2 linked regions of the Macaca mulatta genome follow. Each later gene encodes a partner of the first gene's protein in a complex. Links are inferred from orthologs where the notes say so. Each region holds a gene or a part of one and is shown on either strand. Other genes may lie near its edges.

The links.
Region 2: SATB1 (region 1) and HOXB2 share a complex: the UniProt entries of both Homo sapiens proteins name them as parts of the nuclear protein complex. The link is inferred for Macaca mulatta from reciprocal best matches to the Homo sapiens genes SATB1 and HOXB2.

Annotation. Positions count from the first base shown.
Region 1 is NC_133407.1:30,132,289-30,136,099, forward strand, and holds part of SATB1 (DNA-binding protein SATB1), read left to right. Parts: intron 1-1,545; coding exon 1,546-2,000; intron 2,001-3,811. UniProt on the Homo sapiens protein: Crucial silencing factor contributing to the initiation of X inactivation mediated by Xist RNA that occurs during embryogenesis and in lymphoma.
Region 2 is NC_133421.1:61,463,733-61,468,342, forward strand, and holds the start of HOXB2 (homeobox protein Hox-B2), read left to right. Parts: upstream 1-1,804; 5' UTR 1,805-2,357; coding exon 2,358-2,745; intron 2,746-2,856; exon of another isoform or gene 2,857-3,545; coding exon 3,546-4,228; 3' UTR 4,229-4,610. UniProt on the Homo sapiens protein: Sequence-specific transcription factor which is part of a developmental regulatory system that provides cells with specific positional identities on the anterior-posterior axis.

The sequences.
Region 1 (3,811 bases):
TTCACAAAAGCAAACACTGTGATTAAGGTTAATGTTTTAATTTTTATTAATATTCTCTTTCACCTACTTGTACCCTCCAAAACATATATTTTAAAATAATACAGGAATGGGCATTATGTCCTGTTTTAAATCTATTTCTGTTTATTTCTTTACATTCATTTAATAACTTTTTTTCTAAAAATTTTTTAAGCAATAAGAAACCCAAATTTTGAGCATGTTTTAGCTCTTAATATTTGAAGAAAAACCATCCATCTACCAAAATGGATTCTTTGCCTTTTATAGCTTAAGGCTGTAATGAAGACAATGCATCATTTTTGGAATAATTGCTTGAATTACTACTCTCTGTGAATGGCCCACTTGGGCTGATATCACTGGTAGAAACTGAAGGTTTCTTCCCCAATTCTTAGTTATATTTTGCATATATCAGGAGCTATAGCACTATGATAAAGTTCCTCTAAATGTAAAACCTGCATATTTAATGAAAAGAGAATTGATGATTAAAATCAAACTAGAGTCTATACATGGGAAGTCTGTGTACAATTTGGAAACTCCTGTTTATGTACAGCTTCATGCTCAGCCCTTCCAGCCAAGAGCATCGAACCAGTCTCCTGCTCGTACAGAAAAGCATTTACACACTTAGAGATGATGCTCAGCCAATCCATATGAGGAACCTAGCCAAGGGAGAAGCATTCATCCTGGGTAGGTGGGAATAAATTGCAAAATCATGACAGCATCACCATCGTACCAGAACGATTCCCTGCAAGATTGTCTTTAGCATCTGGTGATGGCCATAGCTTCCTGAAGAAAAACATTTGGATCTTAGCAACACTGGGTATGCTGGCTTGATATACAATAAATCACTTGCTTTATTCTAAAAAGTATTTCCAGATATACCTACTGCCCATGATGGTTAGAATTAAAATGAAACAAGGCATATATGATATTCAGCAAGCATTCAATATGCACTTACTATTATACCCATTTTTGTTTATTACGTTAACTACTTCTATTCACTGCTAGGTAAAAATTGAAAGTAGGTAACATTTTACGTCATATTTTTTCTTCTACACCTTTTTCCTAGAGTACTAAAGTTAATGAATACCATGAGAATATATTTGTAAAATTTTTAGTCGCTTATTATAAGTTTATTTTCTCAGCTAACTGTTTTTAGTTGTCATTAAGCAAATGACATTCTTTTAGAAGCCATTTTTTAAAAAATATTGCTTATAAGCCTTCTTGGGGTAATAAGTGAGAGTGAACAACTAGTCGGAAAGAATTTGGATATAATTGATTTTATGCCTTAAATCTAAACCACTTTTTAAAAATGAGATTAGGAGTGCTGTCCCACTTCCAAAGTTTGTAGAATTGTTCAGAAAAGGAGAGAAAAAACACAGCCTGGTAAGTTGCAACTTGAAATTTTCTTGGTTTTTTTGGATTTGGGGTGTGCCCTGTGCCTACCCTTTTTTAATTTAGGAAGTGATTAGAAATCTTTATCAATGCTAATCATTGCTGGCTAAATGTGATTTTACTTTTTGTCCACTTTAGTTGAAATGGATAGTCTTTCTGAGCTATCCCAGCAAGGCGCCAATCATGTCAATTTTGGACAGCAACCAGTTCCAGGGAACACAGCCGAGCAGCCTCCATCCCCTGCGCAGCTCTCCCATGGCAGCCAGCCCTCTGTCCGGACCCCTCTTCCAAACCTGCACCCTGGGCTCGTATCAACGCCTATCAGTCCTCAGTTGGTCAACCAGCAGCTGGTGATGGCTCAGCTGCTGAACCAGCAGTATGCAGTGAATAGACTTTTAGCCCAGCAGTCCTTAAACCAACAATACTTGAACCACCCTCCCCCTGTCAGTAGATCTATGAATAAGCCTTTGGAGCAACAGGTTTCGACCAACACAGAGGTGTCTTCCGAAATCTACCAGTGGGTACGCGATGAACTGAAACGAGCAGGAATCTCCCAGGCAGTATTTGCACGTGTGGCTTTTAACAGAACTCAGGTCAGTTGTGTTTGGTAAATGGTTCTGTGTTGTCTCCCCTTTTCTCTCTCTTTTGTCCCATCTATAACTGAAGTTTATTATTTTACTTCTGTACTAACATTTTTTCTCTCTCTCCATGTGATCATATTACCTATTCCTAGTGGAGCCTCAATTTTATCACGCCTTTTCCTATGATACACTTCTGAATCAAGGGAAACCTATGTGCAGATTGATCCCAATTCAGGGGCTTTGAAAGACTAATTAAATGTCAAACATGTTTTAAACTGGCATTGCTTGTGCTTTTATATAATGGAATCTTAAACTATAGTAGATAAGAAAAGTTTCATGACTCGGTCAAGGCCATTGGCAGGATTCCAGGCTTCTAGCCTATCGTCTTTCCCATGTATGTTATGTTACTGCCCATATCAAACTTAGGTATATAAATGTTCCCTATTAAAGTTCCACAGCAGTGTTGTCATCATCGTCGTCGTCGTTGTTAACACCTTGGAAGCAATAATCCACTTAATTCTAAGCAATCATTTTGAAAAAATACTATATGATGTATTAACATAATATGTTGGTAAGCTTTGTGCTCTCCCTCATGCTGTTGTCTTCCAAACTTCATTGTCTAGACCAGGCATCAGCAAACTTTATTCTGTTATCGACTAGATAGTAAATATTTTAGGTTTTGAAACACATAAAATCTCAGTTACACTGTAGAGTAATAAAGCAGCCACAGACAATAAATGAATGGCACCGGGTATGGTAGTATCTCGGTAAAACTATTTACAAAACAGGCCATGGAGTAAGTGTGGCTGGCAGGCCTTAGTTTGCAGACCCATTTGTAGAGACCTCACTGCCTGCTTATTGATACCCCTAATGTGCACAACTTTGTCTTCCTGGCCCAATTCCTGTGAAGATACTGTCTATCAGCGTGGAAGATGTTTAAGAGGGTCATGGGAAAAAAGTGATGTATATGAGAGGTGACAAGATAAAGATATTTGAGAAGCCCTAAACGCATTCTATTGAACTGTGAATGAGAATAATTTTTTTCTTTGTTTTGAAACTAGTATGATACATTATATATATGGTGTTTATTTTTGGCCCAGGTATACTAAAACAAAACAAAACAAAAAACCAAACCAAAACAAACAAACAAACAAAAAAAAGAAAAACCGCATAACTTTAATTAGAATGAGGACATTATGCCTTTTCAACTTTTTTGTTTTACCGCTGTTCTTTCTTTTGTCAATTTATCTTATTTTTTGGCCTGACTCCCATTTTCCTTTCATATTTAAGTTACTTTGTTTATTATGTGATTATGATTATAAGAATAAAATTCTGGTACAGAAATAATCTAGTATTAATTCCTAGTTGGCAGAGTTTCCATACCTAGGAGAATCCCAGCTGTGACTTATTTTTGGCTTGCCTTAACTAGATGGGGAGTTAGGAGACCTGACAAAGCCTCTAATTCAGTGTTTGTTTTCAGTTGATTCATCTTTTTTTTTTTTTTTTTTTGTACGTTTGTCTATTTTTAAAAGGGCAGTTGCACAAGGCTATGTCTCAGGTTAAAGTTGTGTGGTTTTACCTAATTCCATATCTTTATAGCTTAAGAAACTGTGTTCATTATTAGCTGGTAAAATTAGTATGACACCTATATTCAGTTGGGGGATAATTATTGAAAATGAATGAAAAGTCAGCCCTCTAAGTATTCCTGTTTCTGGTAGCATTCTTTATTTTAGTAAATATTGTAAGTACTAATAATTCTCCATACTAGGCCAAAAAAAGTAGGTCTCTACATAACAGTTCAATAATGCTTTTTTGAATTGAGT
Region 2 (4,610 bases), on another chromosome or scaffold:
GCCCCTTTTAACACCCAAGTTTTCCGCTGTTTGCTAATCTGGCCATAAAATCTGTCAGTAAGGGTTAGAGAGAGCTGTATTTCCTGCAGGGACAGTCTCTGCCCGAGTTGCCCAAGATAAGCTCTGGATCCTTCAGCCAGCTGGAGAAGCTGTTGCTAAACTTTCAGAGGTGTTCAAGGGGATGGCCAGAGGGAGAAGCCACTCTCAGGCCTCCCTGCATGACTTCCAGACACTGCTTACTATTTGGATTCTTCTATGCCCCATCCACACCTCTAAACGGCAATAATTGTTTTATTTGGAGCCGAGTTGCACACTACTGTTGCTGGCCACTTTGCCCAGGTCAGAGTAGCTCTCTCTGTTCTCAGCCCTCCAGAGCATGACTCCCCGGTCCCTGCAGCCCCCACCTCCAACTCCCCTTTCTTCATCCTCCGCTCCCCCATCCTCATGCTTCTACTCAAGACTTCTCTGCTCTTCTTTTTAAATACTCACCACCACCCACGCAGATGTTACATTGACAGAAAGTTTCTAGTTCCAGCTCCGGGCTCAGTTGCCATTTCTCTGCTAACCAGCCTTCTCCTGGCTGGGCTGCAGAGAGAGAGGAGGGGGAGGGGAGGCCAGAGCCGTGGGAGTTCTCCAGGCAAACTTTCCACCCAACTTAGCGCTTTCCCTCTGTCCCCATTTCCCATCTGTTTCCCAGCTCTCCCAGAATCACCTTTCTCTTTTGCACCCCCACCTCCACCCCCACCCCCAGGCCTTTTTAAGAGATGTGAAATTTTGGCTGTTCCCTCTGCTTTCCCAAAGAGCCAAATTCTTTGATGCAATCGGAGGGAGCTGTCAGGGGGCTAAGATTGATCGCCTCATCTCCTCTCCGTCCCTCTGACCCACTTATTTAAAAATCTTCCCCCAGATCGACTTTTCATTTTCTGCTTTGAGGCCTAGTTTCCCACCAATTGCTTGGGGCTTAGAGTCTTGTGCCCTCTTTCTATAGTAAATTACAACACTCTAAACTTCAGACTATCTCGGTCTCCTCAAAATAAAATAAATTTTAAAAGCATTTCCCCTCAGGAGCCAGAAATGGAATATCATCTCAGTGGTCATTATTTCCACCCGCGCCATTTTCAGGGAATTCTTCCTTGTCAGGGATTTTTTTTTTTTTTTTTTTTTTTTTTAAACTAGCACAATGGCAAAAATGGGAGGGAAAGTCTCTTTGTCCTAGGGGAAAAGCTCCCCACCACATTCATGCACACACATACGCTGATCTGAACTTTGAGAGTGCTCTAAGTTAAATCAGTGGCTACCTGAGTTCTTGTTCATGTCCCTGGATATGGATACAGATATGAGCTTGAGGCTTGAGTGGGTACATGCACATCTTAGACTCTGCTTGTTTTCGGGGGGAGGGAGGTGTCACAGAGAAGCATGGATGCCTGAAAGTGAGGAAAGCAGGGGGACATAAGGGGAAGAGGCAGTGCTGCAAACACTGGGCAGAGACGAGAACCCAGGCCACACAGCGATGGAGGCCAGAGGCCCAAAAATGCCCCTCATGCTCCATCTCACTCTTATGTGTCCGCCTGGGAGTTCCTGTCCATTTCCCAAGATTTAACTGTTGCTTTTGGAGGGTTAACATGGGGATAGTGGTGCTGATGATTATAAATCTCTTTCTTATTTGCACCTTAACACTGACCTTTTTCAAAGAGTGGAAGCCTCTTTCGACTCCCTCTTCCTCCAACGCAGGGATCCTCACTCATCTTTTCTTGGGGAAGGGGAGAAGGGAAGACGATGCTGCTGGCCACGTAAGCCACGAAAGGAAAGCCTTAATTTACTCTATTAAAACATTTGGAAAAGAGGAAGGTTTCTCCCTTAGAGTCTCTTCTTTTCCAAGCTTCTGAAACCTTCTAACCTCCGAAAGGGATGAGGAAGTGGTTTCTCTAGCTTTTCTGGAGAAAGGGAGGCACTGGGGAGAGAGCGTGTGAGGCACTGGTGTAGGAATGGGGGCTCATGGTGTCCAGGTCATGGTCCTCTGGTGTTTTTGAATCAATTAAAGCAAATAATGCTCTCTGTTTTCCACCAGGCCCAGACGAGCGATTGGCGGAGACCGGTCCCGTGACCACGAATTCCCTGTAATTTCGCCGGAGTCCTGGGTTTAATAGAGAGAGTCCCCATACGCTTGTATTTATCAGCAATATACAAATATAAAGGCCCAAAATTTAAAAAAAAAAAAAAAAAGAGAGAGAGACCGAAATCTCCCCCTCCCAAAATCGCTCCATTACATAAATCTGGGGGGGGCAGGAGGGGGGGTCCCTTCCGATCCTCCCTCCTGACGCCCCCCCCAGCAGCCCCCTCCCCCACCATTGAAAGCCATGAATTTTGAATTTGAGAGGGAGATTGGGTTTATAAACAGCCAGCCATCGCTCGCCGAGTGTCTGACTTCCTTCCCCGCTGTCTTGGAGACATTTCAAACTTCATCAATCAAGGAGTCGACATTAATTCCTCCTCCTCCTCCTTTCGAGCAAACCTTCCCCAGCCTCCAGCCCGGCGCCTCCACCCTTCAGAGACCCAGGAGCCAAAAGCGAGCCGAAGATGGGCCTGCTCTGCCGCCGCCACCGCCGCTGCTCCCCGCTGCCCCCCCGGCCCCCGAGTTCCCTTGGATGAAAGAGAAGAAATCCGCCAAGAAACCCAGCCAATCCGCCACGTCTCCTTCCCCGGCCGCCTCCGCTGTCCCGGCCTCCGGGGTCGGATCGCCTGCAGGTCGGTAAGCCTGGTGGGGGTGGGGTGAGGGGCACCCTACAAGAGGGGGAGAAAAAGCAGTGGAAGGAGGTTAAAAAAAAAAAAGGTGGCAAGCCTGTTGGGGTTCCTTACCCCGTCCATTCCCGGCATGGGGAAGAAGAATATCCCACTGGGGGACAAGCCTGGCCTCTGCCAGCGTCTTTTTTTTTTTTTTTTTTCCTCTCTCTCTCTCTCTCTCTCTCTCTCTCTCTCTCTCCCTACAGCTGATTTTGAAAGCTGGTTGGGGAAACGCCTTTTTTCTGCTAGAAGAAAATGATTTGATTGAGGTTTTCATCCGTATCTGTGTAGGGGAATGAATATGTTGTTGCTGGGATAGACTCTAGAAGCAGAAAAAGATTCGGTCCTTTCTGCCCCAACTCTAGGAGAAGAGGAAGAATTGAGAGCTAGGGAGGAAGAGGGGTGAAGAACAATCTTTATGACCCTCGCTCCGGTTGAGTTGGAAAGTTCCGAATTGAGGGGTCCACTGGGAGGGCTTGGGAGGGGGGATCTGAGGTTTCGGCGCCAAAGGGAGCGGCTCTCCGCCCCCTGCGTGGCCCGTGGGCGGCTCTGAATGCTTTGCCGTGACCTGGGCCGGGGCTGTCGACTAGGGAGGGAGAGAAGAAAACCCAAAAGCAGTGAAAGCGAGCCGCTGTGGGGTGGGGGCGGGGGTGGGGTGGCGAGGAAGGGGAGAGGTGATACTGGTTTTGGCGGATGGGTTAGTCCGAACTAAGGTTGGGCTGAGTACACTGCCCGCTTTGACGCCCAGCTTGTTTTCCCTGCAGATGGCCTGGGACTGCCGGAGGCTGGTGGCGGCGGGGCGCGCAGGCTGCGCACGGCTTACACCAACACACAGCTGCTGGAACTGGAGAAGGAATTCCACTTTAATAAGTACCTGTGCCGGCCACGCCGCGTCGAGATCGCAGCCTTGCTGGATCTCACCGAAAGGCAGGTCAAAGTCTGGTTCCAGAACCGGCGCATGAAGCACAAGCGGCAGACGCAGCACCAAGAGCCGCCGGATGGGGAGCCTGCCTGCCCGGGCGCCCTGGAGGACACCGGCGACCCTGTCAAGGAGCCCGCGGTCAGCCCGGGCGGCCCCTCCGCCTCGCGGGCGGCGTGGGAAGCCTGCTCTCACCCGCCGGAGGTGGTGCCGGGGGCCTTAAGCGCCGCGGACCCCCGACATTTAGCCGGTGGCTTAGAGGGCGCGGGCGCGCCGAGCCCTGGCTGCGCGCTGCGCGGGGCGGGCGGGCCGGAGCCGGGACCATTGCCAGAAGATGTCTTCCCGGAGCGCCAGGATTCGCCTTTCCTTCCCGACCTTAACTTCTTCGCGGCCGACTCCTGTCTCCAGCTATCCGGAGGCCTCTCCCCTAGCCTGCAGGGTTCTCTCGACAGCCCCGTCCCCTTTTCCGAGGAAGAGCTGGACTTCTTCACCAGCACGCTCTGTGCCATCGACCTGCAGTTTCCCTAACCCGTTTCCTCCTCCCGGTCCTTTCCACCCCCGCGCTCCTTGGTCATCTACTGGAAAAATCGAGCCTCTCCTACCCCCAGTCGCATAGACTTATGTGTTTTCCTAAAATTCAGGTATTACTGAATTAGCGTTTAATCCACTCCCTTTTTTCTTCTAAAATATTGGGCACTCGGGCATCTTTTAAAATTCACACAGAAAAATTCCGTTTGGTAGACTCCTTCCAATGAAATCTCAGGAATAATTAAACTCTAGGGGGACTTTCTTAAAAATAACTAGAGGGACTTATTTTCCTCTTTTTTATGTTTTAGACTGTAGATAATTTATTAAAATTCTTTAATAATAGGAAAAGGGGAAAGTATTTATTGTACATTATTTTCATAGA